2 linked regions of the Lonchura striata genome follow. The protein of the gene in region 1 purifies or fractionates together with the protein of each later gene. This does not show direct contact. Links are inferred from orthologs where the notes say so. Each region holds a gene or a part of one and is shown on either strand. Other genes may lie near its edges.

Region 1 (14,987 bases):
AAAATTGCTACTATGTAAAGTAAATTCATAGCGTGAAAAATGCAAGGATCATACCATTCCTTTTACTGAAAAACAGTAACTGAGGAGTAACTGATAAAGTAATTTATCAGACTCAAGTAATTTTGACTGTAGTTGTTGTGTGACATAAACTAGAGAGATTGCATTGCAGATGAGACAGAGTACAAATATTTTGAGGATCTGTTCTAATACAGGAAGTCAATTTTTTGTAACTGTTTTATCTGGTACAAAACTTATCTGAAATAGTTTGTACAGACCACCTAAGTCTCTGCCATCTGTGAGTACTCAAGGACAAGACTGAGCAGGCTTTTTCACTTGGTACCTCAGAGGTAGTCAGAGCAATCTTCCGGTCTGCATCGTTCTCTTAAGCTTCAATAGATAAACAGAAGTTCAGTCCTTACAAATTTAATTTTTTTGCACAATACACCACATTTAGCCCTGACCTGAACATAATCAGATCATAATCTACACAGATTCCACATACACATAAAGTTCAAAATAAAATAAAAAGATAACTTAAAGAAAGGATTGGTCTATTTGTAAAATTTACGAACCTGTGCAAAGATCTTTACCAGCCTTGCATTGTGGGTAGGCCTGATCTGCAGGTATTCTCTCCACCACTGCTTAGCATACACAAGAAATAAACGTTCTTTTTCTGCTGTTTTCTGACGTTCCAAAGTGAACTGTAAGTAGGAAAAACAAAATCAGTCCTACACATACTAATTCCAAACAGGAGAAAAAAACCCATGAATGATGCCTTAAGTTTTAGCTTTTATATTTTCCAGATTCTGTACTGTATTAATATATAATGCTGAACTTCATATAAAGTGTTAGCAAGTTCTCTTCACAGTTCAGTTGGACAAAACAATCCTTTTCCAGCCCAAGAGCCAAGGTCATTGTTGCAGCTTCAGGCCCAAAAAATATAAACAACAGCGAATTGAGGAAAGCAATCCGAGAAGATGGAACTTCATAATGTGAAGCTGTAATTGGACAACTGACCCCAGTATGTTCTCACACAAAAGTGTGAGAACTCGTGGCCTGGTGTCCATCCTGGGTGTAGCCATGGCTGGGTTCTTCTATTGCCCAAGGTGTAACCTTTGAAGGCCTTTTAATAAATACCTACTTTATTCCTTTAACACTGTCTAGCCTTTGTTCTAGGCAGCCTCTCAAGGCATCATAACCAGTAAATACATTAACACCACATCCTGGCATGTGTAAAATAAAGCTTAACATTTTAAGTGTGCCATGTGAATAAAATGGAAATCCAATTAAGAAAAACTTCAAGCTGTATTTCTTGTTTGTAGGTTCATATATCAGGCTTGACCAAAGTACTGTTCATTTTAAGTAATGCTTTTCTGCATAGAAGGACTGCTTGGATTTTAATGTGCAGAAAAATATCTGCATGCACCTTCAGGCCAACATTTACTGGCTTTCCAAGCAGAATAGCTAACTTGAATTTACTGTTGCATATGGGAAAGAGCAAGAAAACATATATACTACTTGAAGAAAATGAGATATATTGCATCCTTCTTTTTTCTTCAGAAGATTTGATACATGTAATTAGAAAAACCTATGACAGCAATATTTTGAGTACTGTTCAGTATAGACAAAATACTTTAAAAAGGTAATTCTATTTAAATTTAATAGAAAAAGGAAGCATCATTAAACATTCAAAAACCCCAAGTCCTCAACATTTACAATTCTATACTGAGCTTCCCCCACCACCGATAAAAGAGTAAGTTAGCCCTCCCCAAAATTACTTACTTGAGTACTAGTTATTTCTGAAGAAAGTGTCTTACTAAGTTGTGGATACATTTCCAGTCTGATGCTTAAAACACCAACAGAAACCTTTGATTCTGTACCTTTGAAACAAAATTAATTTTCATCAGTTCTCTCATATTCATTTTGCTTAGATTATTTCAGCCAGGCAAGGGCAAACCATTAAAATATGTATGTTAGCCTTAAATAATCACAAAAAGTAACTAAACTTCATTCAACATAGGCTAAGTAGGAATTTTAATTGAAATTTCAAACTCAAATGAGGCTACAAGAAAGCATAATATACAAAAGCACAGGTGTCTACTTCCAATAAAATGTTCCACAGCCCTATTTGCAGCCAGTACTGGGACATATGAGATGAATCCTACAATGTTATTCTAGAAATGTCTGGAATAGGCATCTAAAATCGAGCCAGAGAATCACACACTGTAAATGTGCCTATTTCTACTGATTACGCAAGTAGATTAAATTTAAATAGGTAGAAATAAGTGAAGCTCATTTTCCTCCAGGATACAGTTCTTATGAAGGACTCTGGCTGACATACAAAGAAATTTATCAACTTAGAAAAAACTCCCCAAAACAACAAACAAATGAACAACAACCCCCCTGGACTTAATATTGTTGCCTAATGCTGAAAATTTTAAATTACATAAACAACAATGAGCTTTACAAAACAGATCACAGATGGGTTCATAAGCAATACAAGCAATGGAAACCTCACATAATAGTTTATCTGTTTATCTGAGATGGCAGCATCCTTTGATGTTCTTGATGCATTTTGTACAATAACAGGATTTTGAAGAGGAGAAAAAGCACTTGATTTATTGGATTGATACTTTATTACTTGGAATAAAGCTAATGAGAATTAAATTTAACTTGCTCCATAACCCATTCAAGAATTAAACCCTACTTATTTGTTATGCATTTCCAAGTCATTACAGAATATTAAAATCAGAATGGCCTGGTTGGATGGAATCTTAGAAACCACCTATTTCCAATCCCCCTGCCACCTTCCACAAAATCATGTTGGTCAGAGGTCCATCCAACCTGACCTTGAACACTTCTCAGGATGTGGCATCCACAGCTTCTCTGGGAAACTTGTTCCAGGAAAAATTTCTTCTTAAAATCTAATCTAAATTTACTCTGATCTTGTCCTCTCATTACCTGCTCTTGTAAAAAGTCTTGTAGGAAGTAATGAGAGACCTAGTCTTCATTCACTAAATCATATCCTAAATCTTGGGTTGGAAGTCCTGAGAAGAGGACTGGGGACAAGTGACACACAAAAATACACACGCGTACTAACTGCTAAGCACCTAAACCAAGCCGTTCAGAACCACACTTCCAGCTACTGGGATAAATGGGAGCAGAGCAGAGATCCTTTTTTCCAGACATTGTTAATTTGCTATGAAAGGCACACAAGCTGGATTTTACTCCCCAGTGCACTGACCAGATATATTCCTGGAGATGAACTGGATTTTTGGTTGGTTAGTTTGATTCTGATAACTTAACCAGATTTTGCAGGTAATCCATAGTGGGAATTCCCAGGCATGAGAACCATTTTTATATGGGATCTGGAATACTCATTTTTAGCAGCTTGATAACAGAAAAATCTGACCATTAAGTCTTCTAGGGATTTTCTAAGGATAATTTACAGTTACTTCTGAATTGAAGAAAAAAAATTAACTAGATCAAAAATACTGCTTTAAGCTTGTAAGCGAGCTCACTACTCAATATTTTAAGTCATTACAACATGCTTATTTTTCATCCTTACCTACACCCAGGAGTTCCACAGCAACACTTGCTATGCCATTCTCTGCAGCCAAGACAGACCTCCACTCCAAGAAATAGGATGCTACCAGTGTGGTCTCACCAAATGTGTCTGTTTTGATCAGAACCATATGTACTGGGTCACATATAGATAACATAGTGGTTGCATCCACCATCTTGCTTCCATCACCTGCCATTATTAAACCAAAATAAAACAACAAGAATATTATCATCCCAAGTTCTCCTCAGAATTTTAAAACAGTATGCAACAAAATGCAATGTCTGTAATAAGTATAAAGAAAGACCTTGAGTCCAGAAGTGTAAACAATGATCCTATCTCTAACACCATACTCACTTTAGGACAGAGCTACAGAGAGATTACAGAGAAGATAAAATTATTTTGCAGTTGAGTACTGCAATGCAACTAGTTCAGATACACAAAAAATATAAATGGAATTAACATTTAAGAATTTATAAAGCTGGTCAATTTCAAGTTATTTTAGAGTGAAAAAGAAGGAAAAGAGCAAGAGCAGAGAAAGATCTACAAGGGGTATAACCCAATACAGTAATCAGTTTTCTCAGGAAAACATGACAAAAACCAGGAAAAAAATTCACTAAATAATACCAAACATATTTCACAATAACTCTCAGGTCAGAAGAAATCCCAACAGCATCAGCTTTAAACCCACAATATTCCTTACCTAGGGTATCCTTGTGTATTTCAAGTAGAAAACCATCCTGAAAATCTGGCTCACAGGCACAGGGTACAGGTTTGGAACGGAAGCGCTGGTTTCGAAAATGTAAACACAGAGTGAAGGTAGAACAGATCTGGCCAGGCAGAGGCTCTGGTTCCTGAAGATGTTCCAGAAAAGCTTTTCCACCCAAAACCTGAAGGTAAAGATACCTCCGTGTTGGGTCAATGTTAGCTGCAAAGCGTAGCAATAAAAATGAAGAGACTACAAACAGATCTTAGAAAGCTTAATTTGTTAAATATCAGGTAACTAACAGGACACTAGCAAAAAATTAAACTTCTTTGAAACATGCTTAGAAGAAAGTGATTTTAAAATATACCTTTGTGTAAAGTAAATGAATTAATAATAAATAATATTTAATGCAACACTGATTGCTGCTGCTTACATGAGTTTACTCCCTGTGGATAAGCAGAGGAAACATCCACCTTTATTCCAGTTCATACTGGATTACTAATTCAGAGTGCCAAAATCAGAGACTTCAAATTTGCTTTAAAACCATGATCTAAACATTTAAATAAACAAGAAACATACTTTTTTTCAAAACTGGTGGTTCTCTGTCAACAAAATGTGTTGATGGTTTTGGAGCCAAAGTCCTCTCCGTTTCATTCACATCCTGGAATTACAATTAAGACTTTTTAAGGACTCAAGGGATGCAACAGTGCTCTTACCACAGTCTTCTAAAAATTAAAGGATCTTCCATTTCGTCTGAATGCCATTCCTTAGGTATACTCCCTTCTAAAACTGAACAAATATTTTCAGTGCAGTATTATCACCAAACCGATTTCAGCATGTGCATTAATCTTCTCTGCTCCTATAATGTCTCAAATCAGTAAGGTCCTTACAAAACTCCAGAAGCAGCGGTTTCACTTTGTCGAAAAACCACGGCAGTAAGAGGAATAAGCAGAAATATTTCCCTTCTTAAAAAGCTACTTACAGTTACAAATTTAAGTTCCTTCATAACATCATCAATGATTCCCCGCTGTCTTAGGGCTCTTATCAGATCTTCTGTGGACAACTGCTGCTGCTCAGGCGCCAGCTCTTCTCGTACAGTCTCAGCAAGAACTTCTCGTATCCTCCCATGGACATCCATCTGAAAGAAAATTCATTATGTGCTACAAACACCAGCCCTCTGTATGGCAGCAGGTACAACTTACCAATTAAGTCTGTAAGGCTAATGGTGTTTTCCTAAGAACACAGAAATAACGATATCAAAATACTGATCCTTGCACAACTAATCAAATGAGCCACTATCTTACAAAAGCAACTCTCCCAGTAAAAAAAAATTACAAGCATACAAAACCTTGGCATTTTCACTGCTCTTTGACAGCAACTCATCTGGAACGTCCCCCCTTACAAAAAGGTCTGGAAATACATAAATTACAAAATGGTCACTGTTCCATTTTCTTGTCTCCCTCAAAATTCAACCTTAATATAATACTTCCTTATTTTTTAAGGGGAAAAAATATTCATTATATAGGTTGGGCACAAAAGCAGTAGATCTCCTTTGCAAGCTTTCCCTATACTCAAAGGGATGTCTGAGAATGCCCATCATCTGAGCTGTGAAAGCAGATGGATTTATAGAGCTGACTCTCACACTGGAAGGCTGCGAAGGACACAGTCACCAGGACCTGAAACGGAATCACAGAACGACCTTGTTGGAAAACACCTTCAAGATCATCTAATTCCAAAACCCTGGCCATGGGCAGGAACACCTTCCACTAGATCCGGTCACTCAGAACCCCACCCAGCCTGGCCTGAAACACTTCCAGGGATGGGACATCCACAACCTGCTCCAGTCCCTCAACACCCATCACAGTGAAAAACTCTTCCTAATATGTCTTTCAATTTGAATCCATCTCCCCTTGTCCTGTCACTACACGCTGTGGTAAAAAGTCTGTCTCCTTTCTTGCTGGCTCCCCTCAGAAGGCTGCTATGAAGTTCCCACCGAGCCTTCTCCTCTCCGGCTGCACAATCCCAGCTCTCTCAGCCTTCCTCAAGCAGAGGCGCTGCCCCCCTCTAATCATCTTGCTGGCCTCCTCTGGACTCACTCCAAGATCCCCGTTCTCCTGTGACGGGCAGGAATATTCACCACTGCACTAACAAGCGCTATAGGAGTTACAGCCTCCTTACTTATTCCCCGGCCAGTTCAAGACCCTCGCTCAAAAAGCAACAGGAAAGCGACCAAGCGGCGCCTGGAAACCACCTGCAGCGACCCAACTGGGAAAACAAAGCGGGGCGCCGGAGCGGGCGCCGCCGCCACCCGCGGCCGGGTGACACCGGCACGGAGGCCAGCACAGCTCCCTGAGGGCCGGGGAAGTCTCTCCGGCGCCGGGCCCACCTTGAGCAGCTGCTGGTGGATGATCTGCTTCAGCTCCGAGGCTTTCTCCGGCGGCAGCGACATGGCGGCACCGCCACCGAGCGAGCCCAACCGCCCCGCAGCCAGCGCGGGCAGCGCCGCCGCCGCCCCCTGGCGGCGGCACGCGGGTGCGGCGTCCGCGCCCTGCTTCCTTCCTCCCTCCCTGCTTCCTTCCTCCCTCCCTCCTTCCCTCCCTCCTTCCTTCCTTCCTTCCCTCACTGCCTGCTTTCTCCTCCCTTCCCGGCCGGCATGTTCATTCCGTGCGGCCGCGGCGGGGGCTCCGCCGCCCCCGACTTTAAAGGGTTCACTCTGCTGATGGTGAGTCACGCTCCTGCTTCGCCTTTCGCCGCCCTCGCCCTCGGTGCGTTTGAGGGCTCGCTGCCCGCGGTCCCTGTGCCGAGGGCTCCGCTCCGCTCCTGTGGGACGGGACATGTCCCACGGGGTTCTGGTGTCGGTCCCTGCCCTGCCCGAGGCTCGTCCCTGGGCGCTTGGCCGCGGGATAAGCGGAGAAAGCTCAGGGCAGGCGGTGTGTGTGGAATCTGTGGGGTGTTCTGGGAAAAGAGGGTTTGGAGGGCTCTGTCTGCGGCAGAGCTTAGCGCGGTCTTCTCCTTTTCTGCCGGCTTCTCCCTCCTCAGAACCCCGGGTTTGCCCCTGTCAAGACGATCCGTGCCGAGCTGCAAAAGCTATATTTTAATTTAGAGCAATAACTATATGCTATTTCGGAGCTATAGCTATACGCTGTTGCTCTAAAAATTAACGCGCCCTATGTGCTTTTACTGGATTTGCAGCACCCGTGGGTTGTCACTGCAATAAAAGCTTGGGATTTTTTTTTTTTTTTTAATTTAGATGTGATATATAAATGCTTCAAATGTTTTTTTTAAAAAGCCATTCTGCTACATTTAAATCTCGGACTAGGATTGTTTTCGGAAGTGTTTTTATCGCGCGTGACACCGGTGCCGGGTGACGTGCCCGAGGCGACGCTGCCGGGCGGGAGCTGCAGGCTGCGGAGGGACGAACGCCGTCTGGTCTGGCCTCGCTGCGCTGGCTGCAGGAGCGCCGCCGCCCAGGCGGCTCCACTGCCGGCACGGCTGCCGGGGAGTCATTCCCGCTCCGCTGGCGAGCGCCAGGAAGCGCATCCCTGCCGAGCTGCGCGCCTGCGGCGGGCGGGCAGCTGGGTGCCAGCCAGGCGGGGGCACGGCAGTGCTGCCGCGGCCCCCTTCATCTTCTGTCCGCCTCAAATCCGCTGTCTTTCCCCAACAGGCAGCAGCAGCAGTAATTCTTAGATGTGATTATAAATTAGAGGAAAGCAACCGAGCGGTTTATGGTAGTCTTCCCGTAATAGTTTCTTTGGAAGGACACTGACTCTTTACTTTCTCTTTCCGTGTCGTCATATTAGGTCAGTATCTGCCCCGATCGATGATAACCCGTAGCAATTCTTATGAAATTAATTTAAGGGCACCCTTATAATTTTCATCCTTAAAAAATATGTAAAATTACATACTCTTGTCTATGAGTCAGTCTGAGATTTAGAGGCTTAACATGTAATACCAGAGCTGCCTTTGGGCATCATGTGAGCCAGTCTCACATCAGTCACTTGAGTGACTTTTACCTACTCTCAATCCAAAAATGTGGGGAAGGAGGTAAGTTTCCAAGCTGTTCTTTCAGTTTACAATTAGACAGGATTATTCACAGAACTGGCCAGGATGTTTTTTGTCGGACAGAGACCAAATCCTGTATTTACCAATTCTTCTGGTAGGAAATAGTCACCTTTGCCAGAGGATGAGCAGCCACTTTCAGAAATGATGTTTGACCAGATTTTAAGGTTTCACTATTTGAAGAGCACATTATGCCATCCATGAAGTATGCTGTAATTCGGTTCGTTCTGTTACTTCAGCCAGCCGTGTCCGTGGGGAATGTCGGTCAGTTGGCAATAGATCTGGTGATTTCCACGCTTGACATGACTAAAGTTGGTTACTTCTATACCGATTGCCTGGTGCCAATGGTTGGAAATAACCCATATGCAACAGCAGAGGAAAACTCAATGGAGCTGAGTATAAATGCTGAAGGTGGGTATAGAATACTGCAAGCGTTTGCAAGGGACATAAGATGCAAGAACATCACATTTTCTTTTTCGTTGTTGTTAAATTTTGCTGATGTGCTTAAATTAAGGGCAGTAATAACAGCTGCAGAAACCTACAGATAGGAATGTATTCATATTTCACAAATGAAACTGTTCCTGTTGTTATTTTGGAAAACCAATTTGACATTTAGAATGTTTGAGCCATATTGTAGTGCAACCAGAACTCTCTGTGGTATTAATCCAAAGCAATATGAAGTGTGCACATACTTAAAATAAATTATTGGAATACAAGTTGAATTTCTCATTTAGAAAGATACTTATCCACTCTTCTTCTTTCCTACATACCTCTGCCTTTTTCCCTGTGTAATGTTTCTCCCACTCCCCCTACAAATTCTTAATTTCTTTCCCTACATTCATCATTGTATCTCCTTTTTTTTTACCCTCTTAAATCACAGAAATCTCAGAATAATATGGCAATCTTTGCAAAGATGCATACATAATCTGAATCATTACAGAAGGCAAATCCTCATATATGTTTCATAATTCAGTCCTTAAATTAGTACAACTGAAAGTACAATGCACAGAAATATGTGGTTTTAACACAGTGGATGTTGTCAGGCTTTCCCGTATGAATTGATAACTGAAAGGTTTACTTTACTATCCTGAAGTTTGTAAGTGGGGTAATTCTTGATATATTTAAACCCAGATTCTCAGTTTCTGCTTAATATGACAATGATTTCTTCTTGTAGTGTACTCCTTACCTTCAAAGAAACTTGTAGTTCTGCAGATCAGATCACCTTTTATAAAGGTATGTATGTTCATCGATCATTTTTACTTCACTGTTTGGTTTGAATAGTTCTGCTGGCAAAAATATTTTTCTACTTCAGGCTGTAACACCTTCTGCAGTTGGTAAAGTTTTACTGATTTCTGCATTTGCTGAGGCATTTTGCATCATCAGTTTGGGCATTTTGTTTTTCCAAGCCCCACAACAGCTGCCTGTGTTGGTAGATTTTAGTGCTAATATCTCCTTAGTTATTAAGAGTCATGAAAATACAAAATGGTCTGGGTTTTGTTTGTTTATTTTTTCCTTTGCATTTATATTTTTTCTGTATTCTTTGTAATAGCTTTATTCTTTTTTGTGTTATGCCAATTTAATTATTTCATATTATTCTATATTCATTTAAACAATGTTCATTTGGTAAAAATGAGGAATTTAGTATTACTCATTAATTGGGCAGTGGCTGTAATTTAAAATAAGCAGAATGCCACCACAGAAAAGAAAATTGTAGTGCAGTATTTTAGCAGTTCAAAGTGTGGAAAAATACTGTGTGATCCTGCCATCCCATCCTGCTCTAAATCTTTTTCCTTTGGTATTAACGGCACACAAAACAGGTAGTACTGTTGTTCTTGACATGGTCTTAGAGATAATTCTTGTAATTCTATTTGTAGTTTTGCTTAAGTAAACAACCAGGGCAGTTCTCTGCTTTCTAATATATCTGGGGCTGAAAACTAAGTGGATATGAAGAATAATTTACGTCACTGCTAAATACTATATGTAACACCTAGTATTGTTAAGGACACATTAAATTTTTCACTTTTTTGTCTGTGTCTTTGCATGAAGAACAAGTACAGGCCATTCTGTGAAACTCTGCTTTCTTGGGTGAAGAGCAGCAAATTTGCCAGGGTTGTCCTCCTGTCCAGCAGCCACGCATACCAGCGTGATGATGAGCAACTTTTGGGGTATGTTTGTCTCCTTAAAAGATCTAATTGATGTTTCTGGGTTTTTTTGACTGATATATTTCCCTCTACTTCCATGTCCTGAGTACTTTTGGCAGGTGCTTTTACTTGCATGTGTGCATTGGTCATAAAATGCTTAGTATACTGTTAAAACATGACGTATTACAGTACAAGTCACTGAATTTTCTAGGTTACTACTGTCAGAAGTACTGATCAAATGAAAAGCTGTAAGCAAATTGCACTCAGCCTGCATTGCCTCAGTTTCAACTTCTGTGGCCGCAGGCAATATCAGGGCTTAACTGCTGACATACAGGTCACAAGTTAGGTTTTTAATAGTTGATGGCAATATTAGTTTGTTTCTGACCTCTTTGTTATCATTCTGCATTTGAAAGGTTTTCTTCAATACAGTAAGTTGTCATTCCTGGGTTTTGGGTGTTTTTTTATAGGAAGTTATTTGTTGGGAGGCAACTGCAAGGCTGCAATTGCAGTCTTTTTTTAATAGATACTACCCATCCAAAAACCAGGCCTTTCCTGATGATTGAGGGCATCCTATTTGGTGATTTAATGAGAAATAAATAAAATCAGTACTTCTAGAAATAAGACCAGCATTTCTGCAGTTGTTATCCTCAGGCTCTATAAGTGTGTAGGGCCTCAAGGGAGATTTAGATCTATGCATGTCCCAGATATAGCGGTAGATCCATACAATTGCAGGATGGCCAGCTAACATGGAATGAAATGAGAGGGACTGATGGTTATTTGATGAGGTCTAATTCATAAGTTGTGATTTAAACCCTCTCAGCTCCTTCAGCACCACAGAACAAATCCCTTAGAGCAGATTTACTAAAGAGTGAGAGTAGTGCATCCAGAAAATACTTTTAACTTGACTAAAGTCTGAATCTATTAATAATGTGAGCTTACTAAAAATACTGTATCATGATTAAGTCCAAGTTTACCTTAACAGATTTTGAATTAATCACCTCTTATCTGAAGGAAGAAAAAACACATTTTATTAGTAAATTATTTTAACAACCATAAGCAGTTTCCCTATTTAGGTGCTTAAGTATTTGGCACTTGCCAGTTATTTGAGCCCCTGAAAGGGTACCTAAATTTTGTTTGTGGCATAAAGTTGAATAGTTTGTACAGTTTTGAGGCCACAGACTTACTTTCTAACTTCGATCTGAAGAGGGAGACAATGTCAGACCATTTCTTCCCTGCAGGTGTGAGGTCCTCAGTGCTGGCACCTTCTGTCTGCCAGAAGTGCTAACTGGGGCAGTGTCCTTCCTTGGCAGACTGAATGCATCCTTGACTTGTTTCTAGGACACCACTGCGCTACCTGCTCACACCTGATCTGGAGAAAGCAGTTGGAGGCCGCATGAAGGAGCTAAATTGGAAAGAAATGGAAAAAGTAGCAGCTTATCCTGGAATAAATAATACAGACAAAGTTCTGCATATACCTGGAGGTGGAATCACAAAACTATTGTTTACTGAGAGGTGAGTGGCCTAAAGATAAGCACAGAAAGGTCTCAGAAGTCTTGTTTTTAGTACTTGGGTGAAATTATCTTATAAACTGCTATGTTATAGGGAGAGCAAAGTCCTTCTGTTTATAGAACAGGGCTTTACAGGAATAGAATTTCATTCAGGTCAGGCCCATAATTAAGAGGAAGAGAAGTAGAGTCCTGGATCATAAAGTTAGAGTAAGATAAAAATATAAGGGAATAGGCTAAAGGAAAATAATAAAGTCTTTACAGTTATGATCACAATCAATCTGATATCTGATATTATCCAAATGACAATTTATAAATTGTAGTAAATTTCTGTACCTTTGCTGTTTCCTGAGGCAAATGGTTCCAACATCAGTTATATAAAAAAACTCAAAAATCCACAAACAATTCTGAGCTCTATGAATGAGTTAAGATTTCAGGGCCAGCCAAAAAATGAGATGTGGAGGTTTTGTTAAAAGCTGTGTGCATCAGAAGTTGTGCTGAAAGCTGAGTTAATTTTAGAAACTAATACTTACTTATAGCACAATTGTGTGTTTCCACAAAAGATGTGTGTTCAGTGGAAAATTGACTTTTATTTTTTAATTATTAGTTTTGACACTTGACCACACTGTTGTATTCAACAGCAACAAAGTTACTAATACCATGCTTACATTTAGACTGACTTCAGAATGGAAATGATACACAATTGCAAATGAAAAAAACCTGCCAGGACTTGAGGTAAAAAAATTAAAAATAACCATCTTAATATCTAAATTAAAAAATAAGAATATTCCAAGTGAAGTAGTCATATGCAGCCTGCAAAACTGCTGGTTTCAAATACACAGAAAGATAAGGAGATATTGTATTAAAGGATGTGTACAGGCACCTCACCAGCACAAAAATGCAAACTTAAGTATGTAAAAGGCCTGAATACTTTTGCAAGATGTAGGATTTGTGCCTTGCAAAGTAAAGAACAAATTCAAGACTAAGCAAAAAGCCTGAAGTGTGAAAATGTGATCTAGGAAATCTGGAGGAAAAAGAATATATATGTATACATACATTTTTCCTTTTTGGTTTTGGCTTTTCACAAGATACATGCATATTGTTGCTGCTCTTAAAACATAAGTATATTTATTCTGGATCTAAAAATAAATATAAATGCATGGCCATTTTTATTGCAGCTGTTCAGAGGGAATCCAAATGGCAGTTCTTCTGAAATTTTGCTCAGAAGGAGACAACATCCCTGATGCATTTGTTCTTGTTAACTATCTTAATGAATGGCTCCAGCTAATTAAAAGTGAAGTAAGTACTGTTTCATCTAAAGTTCTTGCTGTCATAGTCTATATCCATTATTTTATTTTTCTTCAGTCCAGATGGGTTCATTTTGGCTCTTGGTCATCAAGAATATGCCAAATAAAATAGATATTTGTATTAAAATTTCACTGGAAGTTTCATCACCTGAAAAAACAAATCTGAACACCAGTTATTTTGTTTGACAGTGTGGGCAAAAATTGTGTAAAGTTTTGATTGAGTTCTCTCTTCTAATGCTCTTCTCTAAAGCAATCCACCATGACACTGACACTTGTACTGCTGCCCATTATTTTAACACCCAGTTACATCATTACTGCTTAATACTTAAATATTCTGGGTTTGTTGCAGATCAAAAATTCCACAGATCCTTCTTCGCAGTGGAAGATACCAAGTTCTTGGCGCCTACTTTTTGGCAATGGTCTCCCACCTGCCCTCTTCTGATCAGCTCTGAACTCGCTGTGAGTCACATGTACAGTCACAGATGTCCCTTGAGGTGGTGATTACACAATAATTGTCAAGGAGCAGCAGCTTGCTTTGGTGTCTACATAAATGCTTTATTTAAGAAAAATTCCTTTTGTGTATGTGGGTAGCTAAAGAAATTAAGGTAACTTTCACAAACTCACCAAAGAAATACCTTTTGTACAGTTGTTTATTGAGTAAATTTGGTTGGAAGTTTTTTCTAATAAAATATTTTTTAAGAAACTTTTTTTCCTGGTTATGTGTTACTGCCATGGACAAGCTTAAGGTGCTTCTTTTTAATGCAGCTGAGAACTGAAAGTGATGTGTAGGCATGGATTTTCTTGGGAGATAAAACCCTCCACTTCCACATCACCTGTGGATCTTAACCTTTTTTCAAGACTTCCTGGTGAGGTAAGTGAAGGTCAGAAGTGATCTGATTTTGCCTTCTTTTCCCAATGCTTTTGTGGTAGCTTCAACAGGGTAGACTGCAAACAGTGTAACAGGCTGTTCTGTCTTTTCTGTCTATATAGTTGTAAACAGTGTGGGTTGGAAGGGGTCCTGATCCAAGAGATCCTCTAGTTCCAACCCCACTGCTATAGGCAGGGACACCCTCACTAGACCGGGTTGCTCAAGGCCCCAGCTAGCCTGGTCTTAAACGCTTCCAGGGATGAGGCATCTACAACTTTTCTGAGCAACTTGAGCCTGTGCCTCCCCACCCTGAAATTAAAAAAATTCTTCCTAATACCCTACCTAAATCTACTCTTAGTTTAAAGCCATTTCCCTTTCTTTTCACTACGTGCCCTTGTAAAACGTCCCTCTCAAGCTCTCTTGTAGAGTCCCTCTGGGAACTGGGAGGCCACAATTGGGTTACCCCTAAGCCTTCTCTTTTCCAGGCTTCCCTTCCATTTCCAGAGGCTGAAACTAAAGCTTTCTAGGTCAATGAGCCTTAGACCGAACATTAATTCAGTGCCCTGAAACATAAAGGAATCAGGAAACCTCTAATATCAGGCAGTCTTGTATCTCTGTATTCTACAGGCTTAGTCTGAGAGAGCAGCTGTGTGATAGACGGTTCACATGTTCCATATCTGTCATGGTACCTGTTGCTGTAGTATTTAGCTATGTGTTCAATTTTGACATTTTGGAAGTGCTTGGTCACATTAGCTGATTTAAAAACAATTTTAAATCATGGATGCAAGATGGTCAGTTCTAGAGTTGAAAAGTGAGAATTAACCAAAATACATTTTTAG
Region 2 (15,224 bases), on another chromosome or scaffold:
GTAACAGAGACCTCATGTATCTGCTGTGACACTTAGCAAATCCGGGCATGAATAAATAGCCAAAGTCCAATTGAATTAACCTCCAGCTGATCAGCCCTACTAAACAAATTATCCTAAACTCTGAACAAGATTAGAAGGACTGGCACAGGCCAGAATCGTGTGGCAGGAGTGTTAATTCAGTTTAACAAGTTTAAACCTAATCCTCCGGTGTTCTCAGATCTCAGGGTTTCAGGGCAAACTAGCTCCAAAATGCTCTTGGAAGGGTTAGAAAAGGAGGCTCACATGAAGCTGAGAACAAAAACATGAGCTCAGCCTAGAGTCACCTAAAGATAGAGAGAATAATTGCAAATGCAGAGCAAAGAAGGATTTAGGCAGAGTATTTTTTACTGAGACAGAAGAGAGTAGGAAAATAACATTGATTTCCTCATGGAATATTCCAACCTCATTTCCAGGATGAAACTTAAAAAGTTGATAGCATATCTGCCTTTCTTAATTATCATGTTTCTTGTGCAGAAATAGGAGATAACCACCTATGAAATAAGGGACAATGCTCCATTTTAATGCTATTTTCTCCAGTATATAATTATATTTTCTTCTAAGAGTACATTTGTACAGTCCATCAAAAGCACAATTAAATTATCACAAACTTCAGTTCATTACTTAGAATGGCACTAACAAACAACTTCAGTATTTGTTTCTTTTTATGTCGATTCATAAAAGAATTTATATGGCCAGTTAAAATTAACTTTGAACTTCAACTTTAACCAACTCAATATTTTGCAGGGCTTCAAAATATTAAATCTGCTTCCAAGAGGAAATATTTATTTGATTACTCTCTAGACACAGGAGGAGATGTAGTAAACTCCACAAGTTTTCTGAAATGGAGATAACCAGGATTATAAACCCTTCTAAAAACAAATTCCTGCAGTACATGCACATGATGCCTCACAAAATCTTTCAAATCACAATAATCTTAATAAATTTATTTCCAATCTTCTATTACAGATAGGTCCTTCAATGGAGCTCCCAAATTCCTAAAATCTCACTCTTTTCAGTGAGTCTGCTTAGTATAGGCAGGTGAAGACAGAAATCTGAGAGTCTCTACAGCCCACTAAAAGACACCTGCCCGCACTCTCCTGCCTTGCCATGGAATGTCTTTATGCAAGGCTGACTTGGATTCTTCACTGTGGCTTCAGTTTTTGTGCTAAATTTAACCACCAGACAGGATGATAATTTTGACTAGATGGCAAAAAAATGTAATGTTTAATGAAAGAGACAGACACCAGGCATTTCCACCATCTTCAATACCTCTGACACCTATAAAGAATTTAAAGATCAGATGAGGCCAATCTTCACCTGATATTCAGAATTAATTCATTAATAATTTTGTTATTGTTTCATTGGCAAGGCATTGTTGCCCATTTTGTTGAGAACTGCCTGAATGCTTCCACATATTTGAGTGTTGCAAAATGAATACTCCTGTAATTCCGAGGCTTTTGTTACACAACCCTCCAAATGGAATCATGACTTGTCTACTGTGTACTTTGCTGTTATTTATGTAGTATATAAATGCAAGGTAAATATTTATTCTCATTTTCCACTGTGTGCACTGACTGATATCTCCAAAAGTTAACAGCAGCATTATGAACTGCAAATGATGACACATTGTCAAAGTTGAAACCATTTGGTTAGATGCCTCTTACATTTTCAAATATTCCCAATGTAATTTGATAACTGTCTTGAAAATAATGAGGCAATGGATTTTTCTTCTTTCAACTGTGTAACAATGAACAACTATTAGAACCACTTTATTATTTCCAGAGTTTGAGGGATCAGTGGCCACAGAGAAAGTATGCCCTTTTCAACCAAGTTTTTAATTGTTTCCTCACTTGAAAGAGGAGCTAATTTATTACTAGCAGCACAGAAGGCATTTGTCTCATCAAGATATATAATTTTAACTATTAGCATCATACTAATACTCTGGCATTCTTGTTACTTCTGCAAGGGCCATGCAGTTATTTTCTTTGCTTTCACACTTCTCAGGAACAGAGGGGTATGAGTTTTACTCTTAGAAGCTATGCCACAGTAATTTTTACAATCCACTCCATTTGCATGTTGTCTTCCATCTGACAGATCACCACAAGCACCTGAAAATCTCCTACATAAACTATAGTGAGCTTTAAGGCAATTACTGCTGTCTTTACTGATGCATGGAAATAATTCCTCTGGCCATTGCAGCAATACAAAGCTTCTGCTGCTCACAGAGTAGATCTGCTGATGGATGATACCATCCACAGGCGCTGTCATGGTTGTGATCTATGAGGAGCTGTTATTTGACAAATGAAAATTATGTAAACAGTACTCAAACTCAATCTTGCCTCATGATGACTCTGTCTGTTCCATACCCCCTGCCTACAGTGCCCAGAACAGCCAGCTGTTATCTCATGATAAATATCAAGGGTAAAATTATCATCAGACAGCACCAGGTTGGCTGCATGATGTAATCCTGACTCTTTTAGGTAGCTGGAGCTCTTTTAGCTCTCTTAGGTAGTCTGGAGTGTTTCTGGAGGTCTATCTCACACGTTTCTAGAAAGTAATTTCATTTCAGTGGCTGTTGAAATAATTTATTGAGGAATTTTTGCAAAGAAATCTAAGGTGTGCTAGTTTTAAGGGTACTGAATATATGAAAAACACTGCTGTTTGAGATCAAGCACCCCAAAAACTGTTTTCAGCAAAGTCCTTCTGCAGGTGTGACTTGCTTCACTCTTTCCAGGCTCTGCAATCTTAGCAGGAGCCCCTTCCCAAAATTCTCTCTCAGCACCAAGGTTTCTCCTTTCTCCACTCAGCCCCATGGATCTGTAATCCTTCTCCCCCAGCCTGCAGAGCAGCTCAGAAAACACCAATGACACAGCATAAAAAAAAGTCCTACAAGGGCTGGAGTACTCCTCTATTTATAGGTTGCTAAATCTGACTAAAAAAAACTTCCACAGAGCACCAGTCAAATTGCTACCTAGATGTTTCCAGGCCCAGCCAGGGCATGCTGGCTTACTGCCATGTTTTTAAATCCTACCCTGTGCATTGAGCTTTCTCAGGAAAATCTGCTAGTGCTCATATGTGGGCTGTTACTATTGACACAAACATTAATGAACATTCCCCTATTGCTTCCTTACTAAGCTGCAAGTACAAGAAACCAAAACAATAGCATGACCTGACAGTCTCAGGCATGTAAGCAATCCAGCACTTCTATTTCAGATGTGCTGCTGAGTGCAACTCACTCAGAAAGGGAACAATTTGTGTTTAAGTGCTGTGTTTGTTTTTTCTTCTAAGACTGTGGTTTTTAGCTGGCTGAATTCTACACTGAGAAAAAAAAATGTTTCATCAACAACAAAATAGGCTGGAGTGGTTCTGCAATGCCTGATGGATTGGCTGAGCCTTCCTCTCACACAATCAATGAAATAAGAGATGTTCCATACAATAAGAGCCATGGGGACAGCTTCAGAACAAAGCAAACCTCTTAGAATTGTCTCAGAATGAAAACTAATAATCTTGTTATCCTAGGGAGCACAGAAAAGGGACCAACACACAAAAGAGCCAGAATCGCCTCATCTTCCTTCAAAATATGAGCACATAAACTGAGAGCCTCAGCTTCAACTCTGAGATGCTGTTCAGCTACCACCTAATCCTGGACACACCTGAACTCCTCAGTGGCTCACACTCCAGCCTCAGGCTGCCCTGCACACCTGATGTCCCATTTCTGCTCATGTGCACAAGCAGCTGAGATGTAGTCGTGTTTGGCAGGCTCATACCTCTCTCAGGAGGACCTCCAGAAACCCAGAGATAAACCAACCAACTTCAGGTGAAGCAGGGGTGACTCCTGACTGTGGACAGTCAGGTTCAAAGCTGTGTTTCCATTCTGCCAAAGCCTCTCTCTGCTGACTGCAGCCAGCTAGCCAGGGAGACCCAACTAAACATCCCCAGGTGTGCTCTGCTCCCTGCCTCCCCCAGAGCATTGATTCACTATTATTTTCTGAACACGGTCTCTTCCAGACTAATTAAATGCAGTGGGGATGGCTTAAAAGGAGAAATCCAGGAGGTGAATTTCTGCTGTTCTTCTACTCCTTTTACAATGGCCCCATAGAGAGAGCCCTCACACAACCCTGCACCACCCACACCCCTGACCTCCCTGTGACAGTAATAAGGGGAAGAGGAGAGTTCTGATATTGTCTGGCCCAAAGAATGTACTCACAGGCAGCTCCTCTTCATGTACCTGATTTATAATAGAGATCAGAATAATTCCCAAGCAGCTCCTGCATCAGGGAGCAAGCTAATTCCTTTCCTCTCTCCTCGGCTGCGCAGCCCAGAGTCCAGCTGCACCCAAGGTTCCAGCTCACAGTCTATATTCTGCATCATAAAAGATACAAGAGAGAAATCTAAACTAGAGAAGCAATAACCTGTAAACTAATAAACCAACCCAGCACTTTGACAGTGAGATGCTCCCCAGAGCAGGGATTATTAATGGGTGTCCTGAAACACTGTGTGTCTATGATCAATAGTAGTGGGAAATATTTCTAATGCTCTGTGGATCTTACACATATATTCTTATAAAATCAGTTCAGAATAATGCAAAGACTAATATAAAAGCAGCCTCTTTCCAGTCTACACACACAGAGGCACTTAAGCAGTTTAAAAAGAAAAGCAGTATAAAACTGCTTGAATAAATAATAATAAAGGTATTAAACTGCAATATTAGGAGTAGTTTCTCTTGTCAAAGTATGGGGCTGCACAGTCATTGATTTTATCTTATAATTGAGACAGTGACATGTATGACTTATGTTTCTTTGGCAGCGAGTGCATGGGAATGGAAGAAGGGATCTTGAAATCCTGTGAAATCTCCAGCTGAAGATTTGATGGTTCTGAAACTGCTGTTGGTCTCGATTCTTTATTTCCCTCAAACCATAAAATGGGTTATATTAACAATCTGTTATGATGAAAGACAGTTTATGAAGCTAAATGTAATAATGTTTGCAATGTGATCAGGGATCTATGGAGATAAAGTGTTATAGCAAGCAGGAGTGTGAGTATGGGTACAGACCCTTCTCAGCCAGAAATGCTGGGAAGCAGATGACAGGCAGACAGATCCCCTCAGGAAAGGTCCCATTACCTGTCCTGGTGTGTATTCTCAAATCCCCATCCCCTGCCTCAGTCACACAAACAGGAGTTTTCTCCTAAGCTCATTTTTAATGGATTCACTCTCAGTGATGAGGATTCAGTGCTTAGTTGCTTCACTTGCTATATCCCACCCCAGCTAAATGCCAAAATGAGACATCCGATTGACTGAAACTGTGAAAGACAACTTTTTTTTTTTTTTTTTTTTTTTTTTTTTTTTTTTTTTTTTTTTTTTTGGCCCAAACTAATGCAAACAGCAAACAATGGTGTTTCCATGTAAATCTGAACTACAGTGGACTCCCTTTGTTCCCCTGTCATGTAAAAATTAAAATGAAGTCTACCAAGGAAGGCAGGAAGAATCCAGTCCTTTGTTTCCTGAAGTAAAGTTACTCTCTGGAGAAGGCAGAGCAGGAATAAACTTCTTTATGAGTCAGGAGGTTTTACTGACAATAGCTGCTATTATCTCTGTCAAACAGGCAAAGCCTCGAGTGATTGTGGTAAGCAAGAAAGAGGAATGCTGTTTATTCAGTGCTGGAAAACAGACTATTTGCCAGGCTGCAAAGAGTACCGAAAAGGTATTGAGTCTCCGAGTTTGAATTAACCACAAAAATAACCTGCTGAATTAAAAGCTTTTCCATGGACCTCTGCTGCTCTCTAACGGTGCCTTAAAGGATTCTCAGCACAAAGTCTGTGTTTTCCTCCTGTAATCAAATTTTAGTAAAACTTTTAATGCAAAACAAATAAAAGATGTATTCATGGTCCTTTGGAGATGTGACCTGAACAGATAACCCACAGGTCAGATAGCTATTGCTGTACACATGACCAAGATATTTGGGATGTGGTGAGGATGCTGGTAAAGGAGAGCTAAAACATGGGAATGAAGGTTTTGACTGTATTTTAGATGCAGCAATTGCAGGAGTCTGGGAGGTTGCAAACTTCTGGGAAATGCCAATTTTCAGGGCTTTGTATAAATTAGAATACAAAATCTTTATTCGTGAGTGCCAGTATTTCAAAGGGAAAAAATAGTACTGTATTGATTTGGTATAATTAATAGAAATTAATGTTTGCACTTGAGACTGACACATTTGGTTTCACCCTCCTCACACAGATGCCTTTATTTTATCCCCGAGTACAGCTCCAATGCTCGCTCAGCTAATGGCAAGGCCACTTCCATGACCAAAACCAACCTTGTTTTCATAGAATCACAGAATGGTTTGGGTTGGAAAGGACCTTAAAGATCATCTTGTTTCACCCTGTCGTGGGTGACACCTTCCACTATCCCAGGTTGCTCCAAGCCCTGTCCATCCTGGCCTTGCACACTTCCAGGGATGGGGCAACCACAGCTGCTCTGGGCAACCTGTGCAAGGACAGCACCTTCATAGGGAAATCTAAGTCCTAACAGCCAATATTCATTTATTCCTTTCATGTTTAAAAGCATTTATCTTGTCCTATCTCTTTCTGTATGTAAAAAATTGCCTCCTTTACACAAGCCCCCTTTATAAGCCACTTTTATTAAGATGGGAAAGCATACACTGGATCTTATAGTGCGGCCTAACAAAACCCAGTACTGGGAGGGACCGTATCCCATGGGGAAATGAGGGAAAAACAATATCCACAGCCCTTCTAGGACTGCAGGGTCACCGCTCCCCTCACACGCCACCCCTCATGGCACAGGGGGGTCCTGCCCTGTGACTCCTCCGCAGCTCCTGGTGTGAAACAGGGAGAAAGTGGGCGTGGAGGCTAAACTGGGGAAAGGGGTTCACCCCCGGAGAAGGGGGTTCATTCCTGGAGAAGGGAGTTCATCCCCAGAGAAGGGGTTCATCCCCAGAGAAAGGGGCTCATTCCCAGAGAAGGGGTTCATCCCCAGAGAAGGGAGTTCATTCCCGGAGGGTTCATTCCTGGAGAAGGGGTTCATCCCCAGAGAAGGGGTTCATTCCCGGAGATGGGGTTCATCCCCAGAGAAGGGGTTCATCCCTGGGAGAAGAGGTTCATTCACGGAGAAGGAGCTCATCCCCGGAGATGGGGTTCATCCCTGGAGAAGAGGTTCATCCCCGGACAGGGGGTTCATCCCCGGAGAAGGGGTTCATCCCTGGAGAAAGCGTTTATCCCCGGAGAAGAGGTTCATCCCCGGAGAAGAGGTTCATCCCCAGAGAAGGGGTTCATCCCCGGATAAGGGGTTCATCCCCGGACAGGGGATTCATCCCCGGACAGTGGGTTTATTCCCGGAGGTGGGGTTCATCCCCGGAGAAAGGGGTTCAGCCCCGGATAAGGGGTTCATTCCAGGAGAAGGGGTTCACCCCGGGAGGCCGGGTTCACCCCGGAGAAGCGCCCGGGAGCGGCAGCCCTGCCCGCGGCCGGCGAGGGGCCGTGAGGAGCGCGCGGCGGGGCGGACATGGCGCCTTCCGCGCGCACAGCGGGTAATGGCGGCGGCGCGGAGGGAAGGGGAGGGAACAGGCCGTGAGGGCTGCCCTGCGCCATCGCCCCCCGCCGGCTGCGGGAGGGAGAGAGGGAGGGATGGGAAGGGAAAGGAAAGGAAAAGAAAAGCGCCGCTTCCGCCACGGCGGGGCGGGCCTGGGCGGAGAGCGGCGGCGCGGCGGGGCTGGCAAGGGTAGGGGCGGTGAGGGCCGCGGCCCGGCGGGATGGGGGTGGCTGTCTCCCTGTCTCCATGTCTCCCTCAGGAGAAGCCTGGTGGAGCCGGGTGGAAAGCAGGGCTCGAGGTTTCCCCCTCGGTGCCAGCTGCCCGCGTTAGCGGGGCCCCTGCCAGGCAGCGGGGCCGTGCGGGGCAGTGATGCCATCGCTGCGGCGCTGCGAGGTCCCCCCCAGTCAGGGCTGCGGGTTTGTACTGAAATTAACCTCAGCGTGGGTATTTCAAACTATGGGAAGGATTCGGTCTTTTTGTAGCGCGTCGCGCATGTTTTTCATGTAATGCTGTCGTACTGTCGCCGTGTTGTTCCTTTCGGAAGCGATGGAAGCGGGTCCCATCGTGACGTCCAAGCAGCGGGAGGAGGTGGTGCACGGGGTGCCCACGGAGGTGGTGTGCACGGCCTTCTCCAACTCCGTCCTCGTGGTGGTCACACAGTACGGCAAGATGGGCACCATCGTCTACGTGGACCCCAACATCGTCGGCGACAACGTGGGCAGGCCCACGCTCACCACGAAGGTGCTGCTGGGCAAGGATGAGGTGAGGTGAGAGCGGATGCGGAGCGCTGGGGCAGCAAGGATAAGGGGGAAATGTAGTGGGTGGGGCTGTGCAAGTTGCCAGGGAGTTGATGAATCACAGCAGTTAAGCAGTGTTTGAACAGTGATAAGATTAATTTTAAAATGAGGAAAGAGGGGCTCATCAGAAAAGTATGTGCGCTCGTCTGCTCTGTGGACATAAAAGTGTAACTAACCATGAGTGGTTTGGCGATCTGTTGTTTTGTATCCTACAGGATATGGATTGCTTCTGCGTGTTTATGGAAAGTTTGATAAAACTGTGTTGATTTAAGGGTTGCAAGATTAAATATGCAGCCATTGATAACCTTTTTGGGTTTCTGTTCCAGTGAGTTTGTTTTCCTTTTCAGGTCTGTTTTCCCACCCCCATCCTCCCCTGTCTATGCCAGCCCCATAATGGGCTTTAGTTGCCCACTCCCAAGTGTGCCCAGCACCTTCCCTTGATAAAGTTAAATTTGTTTTGCTTCAACAAAATGAGGTTTTTATCGACCACTTCACAAAGCTAGAGAGAAAGCAGATGCAAATGTGTTTCGCAAAGCATCAACTGGTCAAACATTAAAACAGAGTTACAGAGCTACAAGATTATGAGGCTTTCCATCAAGGTTGAAGCTATTGCATATTACTTGCTAGATTTAACTAGAAAAGCTATAACAACACAAGTTCCTGATTTTATCCATGACTTTTCCTTGTGGAGTTCTTTCTCTTGAGCAATAGCCTTCCCTTTTTGGGAGATATTTTGCTTTCTCTGCTTTGATATATGCAAATTCTGACCACCTCCACCCCCAAGCTTATTTTGTGTTTTACTTGGAAATGGGAAGTGCTATGTTTACTTTGTTCCATTCTATTTTTAAAAAATTTTAACTAACTGATCTAAATTTCAAGAAAAGACTTTCACTAGTTTGCTGCTTTCCTGCTTGTCACTGCTAACATCCTTCTTTGGGACGCTGCACACTTCCAAACAGCAGCTGAAATCAAGCAAACTCATCCTTCCAACAGATACACAACTATGGGTGTAAATAAACCCTAGACAAGCTGGGTGGTTCGAAGCTGTGCTGGGTGAGGTTGAGACTGGACATGAGAAAACACCTCTTCACCACGAGTGTGGTCAGACACTGGAACAGGCTTGAGGTGCTTGATGCTCTAAGCCTGTCAGTGTTTGAGAGCCATTTGGACAATCCCCTGAATAATGTTTTAACCTGGTCAGCTCTGAGTTGGTCAGGCAGCTGGGCTAGATGTCATTGTATGTGCCTTCCATGTGACATAGTCAATGCTGTTCTGATGTATTCTTGTTAAAGAAACCTCATGGAAAAGGTTATATCCCTTTTTTTGCCTCCTTCAGCCTCACTACTTATTTCTGCTCTTCATTATTCTATTAAAATAAAAGGCAACATGTCTGTAACACCAGACATACAAAAACTGTGTATTTAACACCATTTGGGGATCTCTAGGAATTACAAAAATAACAGCTTTTTTCCAGAGCTTGTCAATGGAACATCCCCTTTTCAGAACAAGATTTTAAACAAAAAAAAATGTACTTGCAAACTTCTTTAGAAACCTGGCTGTGAAGGAAATAAAGGCATTTGGATCCATAGCATTTCATATAATTTAACACTGGTGCCACAGTTCAGGTGGGAGGATTATGGAAGGAAAGATTCTCCGTACGGAGTTTCCAAGTTTCCCAGACAGTGCTGAACTCAATTCAAGTGCAGCTCCACTGAAGTTGTTTCCGGGTGGTGTGGGTGGCTGGCACATTCATGGGACCAAACTCTTCCCTTTTAATCTGGTTGAGAAAATGCTTTCTGAAGTTCCCTGTCCCATGGCTTGCCTTTGCTGACCATGTTGGAACTGGCCAACAAGCATCGAGCTCAGTCTGAGTCCAGAATCAAGAGTTTCTCCACGTCACTCAGGGACGCTTCCTCTCCTGCAGGAGGGCTCTCCCATTGTAGGAGTGTACATCTGTATCCCTTTGCTTTTCAGCCCCTCGTTCATGTTTGTGCCAAAAACCTGGTGGCGTTCGTGTCGCAGGAAGCTGGGAACAAACCTGTTCTCCTCGCCATGGCTTTAAAGGACAAAACCATGGAAGGAATACAGGCTCTACGAGAAGTGATCCGGAGCTGCCAAGTGTGGTGAAGTTGTGCCATCTGGATTCAAGGAAATGATCTTGAGTCCGTGACTCATCACCACCTATTTAAAAGGACTAGAAATGAAAACGATGGAATGTCTTTGTGGTGGTTTTGGATGTCCTAAGGAATTTCATGAATTTTTCTCTACTGTGTAGAACATTTGTGGGTTTTATTACTGGGACAGGTTTGCAAGTCCATATAGACAGTGGCGAGACGAGAGCAATTGTCTCAACATAGGAGAGAAGTGCTACTTTTATCATGTTGGGTGGGTCATTTATTTGGGAAAGGGCTCAGCTCTGCTCATGTGTCCTGAGGAGCAGCAGATGCCAAGGTCTGTAGCTGTGCCATACCGCAAAGGGGGAACACCCAGTGCAGAGGGAATAAAAGAAACATTGTCAAATCAAATTTTACCTGTTTTCTTTTTTGCTCTATGAGAATCACTTCAATTGAAATACAAGCCTTGGTAAAAAATCAACAGTTGCATAATGGGAAACATTTTCTTGCCTTTTTTTAGGAAATGAGTCTTAGATGGCTGCTTTTGTCCTTATGTCCGTTCCTTTCTGGATGTAGTCTGAATTAATTTTCTACTTTCACTCTGATTTTAAAGAAAGGCAGATCATGACACTTTGCAAATTTCATGAAAGCTGATGTCAGGGTGGAAGACAGGAACCCAAATTAGTGGTAAGAAAATAATCTCTGCCAATGGATTACGTGGTACCAACACATCAGAGAAACAGCATCCATTGGCTGATCAATGAACATCTGTCAGGAGATGTGAGGACAGATGGTTTGAGGGGTTACACAGGGTTGTTTCTGACAAGTCACCTACAAAATGTGTCAGATTATGTTGTATGAGCTGATGCAAAGATTAATAGCCAAACTTTTGCCTGGAAAGCACATTTGTTTTTACCTCTTGTAATAAACAACAACAAGTAGTAAATTTTCAAGTGAGCTGTTATACACTTTTGTCACTTATGAACTTGACAGCACAGACAGAGGCCAGGTCTTGGATTCTGGGCACAGTAGAGTTGTGCTAAGACCAGTTGGTACAGCAGAATCAGCACAGAGCCTGTGCCTGCCCCATCATGGTGATCCAGCTGCCAGGTCATTCTGTTGTTAAAAAATCCCCTAGAAGTAGAAAAGCAGAAAATGGATTTCGAAAGGACTCTTTTCTCTGAAATAAGAGTTATTTACAGCATTTAAAGGGATTATGAGAAATGAAACTCTTTTTAAAAAATACATTCAAACACTGCAGGCTTCCAGCTGCCCTTGACAAGAAACTGCATCTAAAAATAATTTTCTAAACTGTGCTTCCAAGAATCAAAGATTCACATCTGTCAGAGCTATAAATTTTTCCTCTTTTCCACTTCCCTTTTTTTTTTTTTTTTTTTTTTTTTTTTTTTTTTTTTTTTTGTCTAGGAAGGCTGAGAGAGCCATGTGGAATTAGTTATTGTCAATCTTGGTTTGCTAGGAGGGATTCTCTCCTGACACAAAACTGAAGCTCTTACTGTGTCCACAGCTCCAGCAGCTTGAAGAGAACATGCATGAATCAGCAAATTGGATAGAAATTGCATCTTCCACTGTGGTGATAGAGGGGCATACCACTGCTGTGCCCCAGAGAGCTGAGTGTTACTACCTAAAAGCCAGGCACAAGTTAAGTACCTTCATTTCCTGGCTGTGTATGTGCCACCTGGTCTGCATAGGGCAGGGGGTGAGGAAAGGTCATGGAAGCATCTCTGATTTGATGCTCGGAGCCCGGACAGACTTACCTTGCTGCCTTTCCATGTTTGATAAATTAGAGCCCGAGCAATTGGTCCTTCGACTTTGCTCCTCTCTGCTGCACAATAAACCAAGGGGAAGGCCTGCTCAAACAACAGGCACAAGATGCCACCAGCTGCCTGCCTTTTAGCACTGCTCTCCTCCAGGTAGAGATTAATTCCCAATTGCTGGGAAAGCTGCCTCTGCCGCCCAGGCAGAGCTCCTGCCCTCGGCCCGTGTGCTGGGCGGGGGACAGCGGTGTCGGGCCGCACAGCCGCTTTCCATCCGTGTTTGCTTTCCGGGCGTGGGTGCCGAGCGCGGCGGACTGGAAAGGTAAGTTGGGTAGCTTTTCTGCGGGAGACAAAGCCCGACCTGCTGCTCCAGCTCCCGCGGGGCCCGGGGCGCAGCGAGGGCGCTGGCAGGGCGAGCCGGGCACAGCGAGGGGGTGCTGGTAAAGGTAAGCGGGGTGCCGGGACACAAGGGCCAGCGGGGAGAGTGGGACGCTGCTGGGAAAAGTGGGGTGCTGGTGGGAGCCGGGAGCAGCGAGGGTAACTGGGGCAGCGGCAGGGCCCGCGGCCAGCAGCGGGCAGGGCTGGGAGGGTGTCCGGAGGAGGAGTCTCCGGCGGGGCAGGTGGAGGAGGGCACGGGGGATGCAGAGGCAGGTGCACGGCAGCCGGACTCCCTCCCGGAGGAGCCCCAAAGGGTGAGTGGGGCCCTGGGGGGGTGCACAGCAGCTGGGGGAAACCCCACAAATCGGGGTTGACTCAGCCATTGGTTCTGAGCACCTGTGGGAGCCTCTGGGAGGGCAGAGCCTCCTATAAGAGCCCTGTGCCTGCGTCATCCACTCCTCCAGATGGGCTTCAGGGAGTGCTCGATGCTGCCCTGCCGCGATTTGTAGCTGTGTGCTGTAGGTCCTTCCCCCTGAGTGGCCTGATCGTGGTGTGGAGAGGCTGGTCCCGTAAATAGAGTATCCCGGCTTTATCTGACAGCAATCAGGAGGAAGGGCATGTCTCCTGCTCTGGTGGGGCCAAGCCTGGATGCTCCCCTCCCCAGGATATGGGTCAGGGATCTCAAAGGCAGTGCTGGGGGGCTGCGAGGGCTCACCTTTCCCTGCTGACCTGCTTCACTCCACAGGGGGCTGCCGCTGAGATGGGGATATGTCCTAGGTGCTGCAGGACACAGGGAGACGTGAGCTGGGAGTCTGGGCTCTGGCAGCCTGCCGATGGAGGGGAGTCCCTGGCAAGGTGAAAAGCCCCATTTGCAGGTGGCCTGCCTGAACACAAGCTTCACTGCTCAGTTTATCTTTTCAGTTCTCACTTAGCATCTCTAATATCCCAGAGAGTGTATGTAACAGGTAGACACTGTATGGCAGGTACCTGCAAGGTGTCTGAAAACAGATTGGATATGGCTCAGTCCCATCGAGGAGCTGAATTTTGCAGCTGGTATTATTCCCGGTGTCTCCTTGCTGCCTTTGTTTTGGAAGCAAATGGCTCTGTAACTGCATTGAATTGCCTGACTACCTTGCACGGCCGGGATCTAATTACCTGTGGAGCTGGGAGCCCTGTCTCTGAGCGGCACCGCGGCTTTTGCTTTTAATGGCTTGCTCTGCAATGTTCAGAGTGTGACAATGTCGGGGAGGCTGCCAGGACTGGCTGTTGGTGCCACCGTGCTCACACCGCCATGGCTGGGAAAGTTCATAAGAGATGGGATGTCTTGGACCAAGTATCTGTGGCACAGCGCTGGGTTGAAAACTGAATAAATGGATCTAGTGAAGAGCACAGCTCTCTGCCGTGTCCTGGGGAATAAGCTGGATCACTAGAAAAGTGACTAGAAAAACAGCTAGAAAGAGTGAGCTTTCATCCTGCTCTGTCATGATGCTCTGGCAGAGGCAAAGCGTGGCCAAATCCAGCCATTTAGCCCCAGCCAGCAGCAGGGCAGCCCCCAGAAGGAGTGAGGAGTGACTGGGGAACGGGGCGCAGCCAGACTCCCATGTCCTTCCCCGTACCACCAGCTATCTCCGTCCTCCTGTTAATGTTTACAAGGCAGGTCCGGCAGCATCCAAGTCTGTCCAAAGACCAGCTCCCGCCCCGGCTTTCCGGGATCCTGGCCGGGGCAGGAGCACAGGACGGTGGCGGCAGGGAGGAAAACGCGGCTCCTGCTCCTGTGTAACCCTCTCGGCCCCGCGGCTGTCCCCGCTCCAGCGCCGGTCCCCGCGGCCGCTCCGGGCGCGCTCCTGGGGCCGCGCCAGGGCAGCTCCGCTTACCCGCGACTCCTGCCAGGCCGAGCCGCGGAAAGGTATTTTTAGGGCTGTTGATCTGACACCAGCCGAGTTTGCTCTCCTGTGAGGTTGGGGTTCGGTGAGAGGGCAGAACAGGGAGCCGCAGGGTCAGCTCTTGCTTTGGTTTGTTTTCAGTGTTTAATTGGACCGAGGTCATTCCCTACCACTCTTATCCATGGCAGATATTTTTATGCTTCTCTCCAGTTCATGCTTACAGTTTTACCCCAGGCGATAGTTACCCAGCAGCTAAAGTATTTGTTTATTAACAATGCACTGAGAAGCATCTATATTGTTAGAGTTCAGCTCGCAGGTTGTTGGTTTTTTAAACCACTATTGTTATACTTGGGGAAAAAGCAGCTTTCCATAGATTAAGAGAAAGAGAGCCCAAACATGGCAGTTTATGCATCTGTTGGCCTTGAGATACGAAGCTGCCCTATAAATAATTGCTTATTATTAGGTTGGTCCTTGCTGTCTGTAAGCACAGGGTACACGGTGTCCGTATGCCCAGCCACCCTCTGCACAGGAATGCTCAGTGCCTTGGGGCAGCCACCTTTGAGGAGCACACACCGAGCAGGGAGATGCCACAGCACTCCTGCATCCCCAAAGGGCAGCAGATCTGCCTCTGGAATAGCAGGCTTGCTCCCTTGTGCTTAATTTGGGTGCAGGAGGGACTGCCGGCTGTCCTT

The links.
Region 2: the proteins of PSMG2 (region 1) and PSMG3 purify together in Homo sapiens (affinity purification with mass spectrometry; 4 studies listed by BioGRID and IntAct, counting the BioPlex papers as one, with this or other methods). This does not show direct contact. The link is inferred for Lonchura striata from reciprocal best matches to the Homo sapiens genes PSMG2 and PSMG3.

The regions. Positions count from the first base shown.
Region 1 is NC_134603.1:53,160,317-53,175,303, forward strand, and holds PSMG2 (proteasome assembly chaperone 2), read left to right. Parts: upstream 1-6,866; 5' UTR 6,867-6,921; coding exon 6,922-6,990; intron 6,991-8,566; coding exon 8,567-8,738; intron 8,739-9,501; coding exon 9,502-9,560; intron 9,561-10,373; coding exon 10,374-10,492; intron 10,493-11,806; coding exon 11,807-11,980; intron 11,981-13,151; coding exon 13,152-13,392; 3' UTR 13,393-13,629; downstream 13,630-14,987. Other genes in the region: CEP76 (centrosomal protein of 76 kDa), read right to left, coding at 573-701, 1,783-1,880, 3,569-3,754, 4,266-4,490, 4,848-4,929, 5,251-5,406, 6,655-6,717. UniProt on the Homo sapiens protein: Chaperone protein which promotes assembly of the 20S proteasome as part of a heterodimer with PSMG1.
Region 2 is NC_134618.1:12,906,887-12,922,110, reverse strand, and holds PSMG3 (proteasome assembly chaperone 3), read left to right. Parts: upstream 1-7,710; 5' UTR 7,711-7,774; intron 7,775-8,067; exon of another isoform or gene 8,068-8,129; 5' UTR 8,130-8,131; coding exon 8,132-8,347; coding exon of another isoform or gene 8,348-8,352; intron 8,353-10,356; coding exon 10,357-10,509; 3' UTR 10,510-10,907; downstream 10,908-15,224. UniProt on the Homo sapiens protein: Chaperone protein which promotes assembly of the 20S proteasome. May cooperate with PSMG1-PSMG2 heterodimers to orchestrate the correct assembly of proteasomes.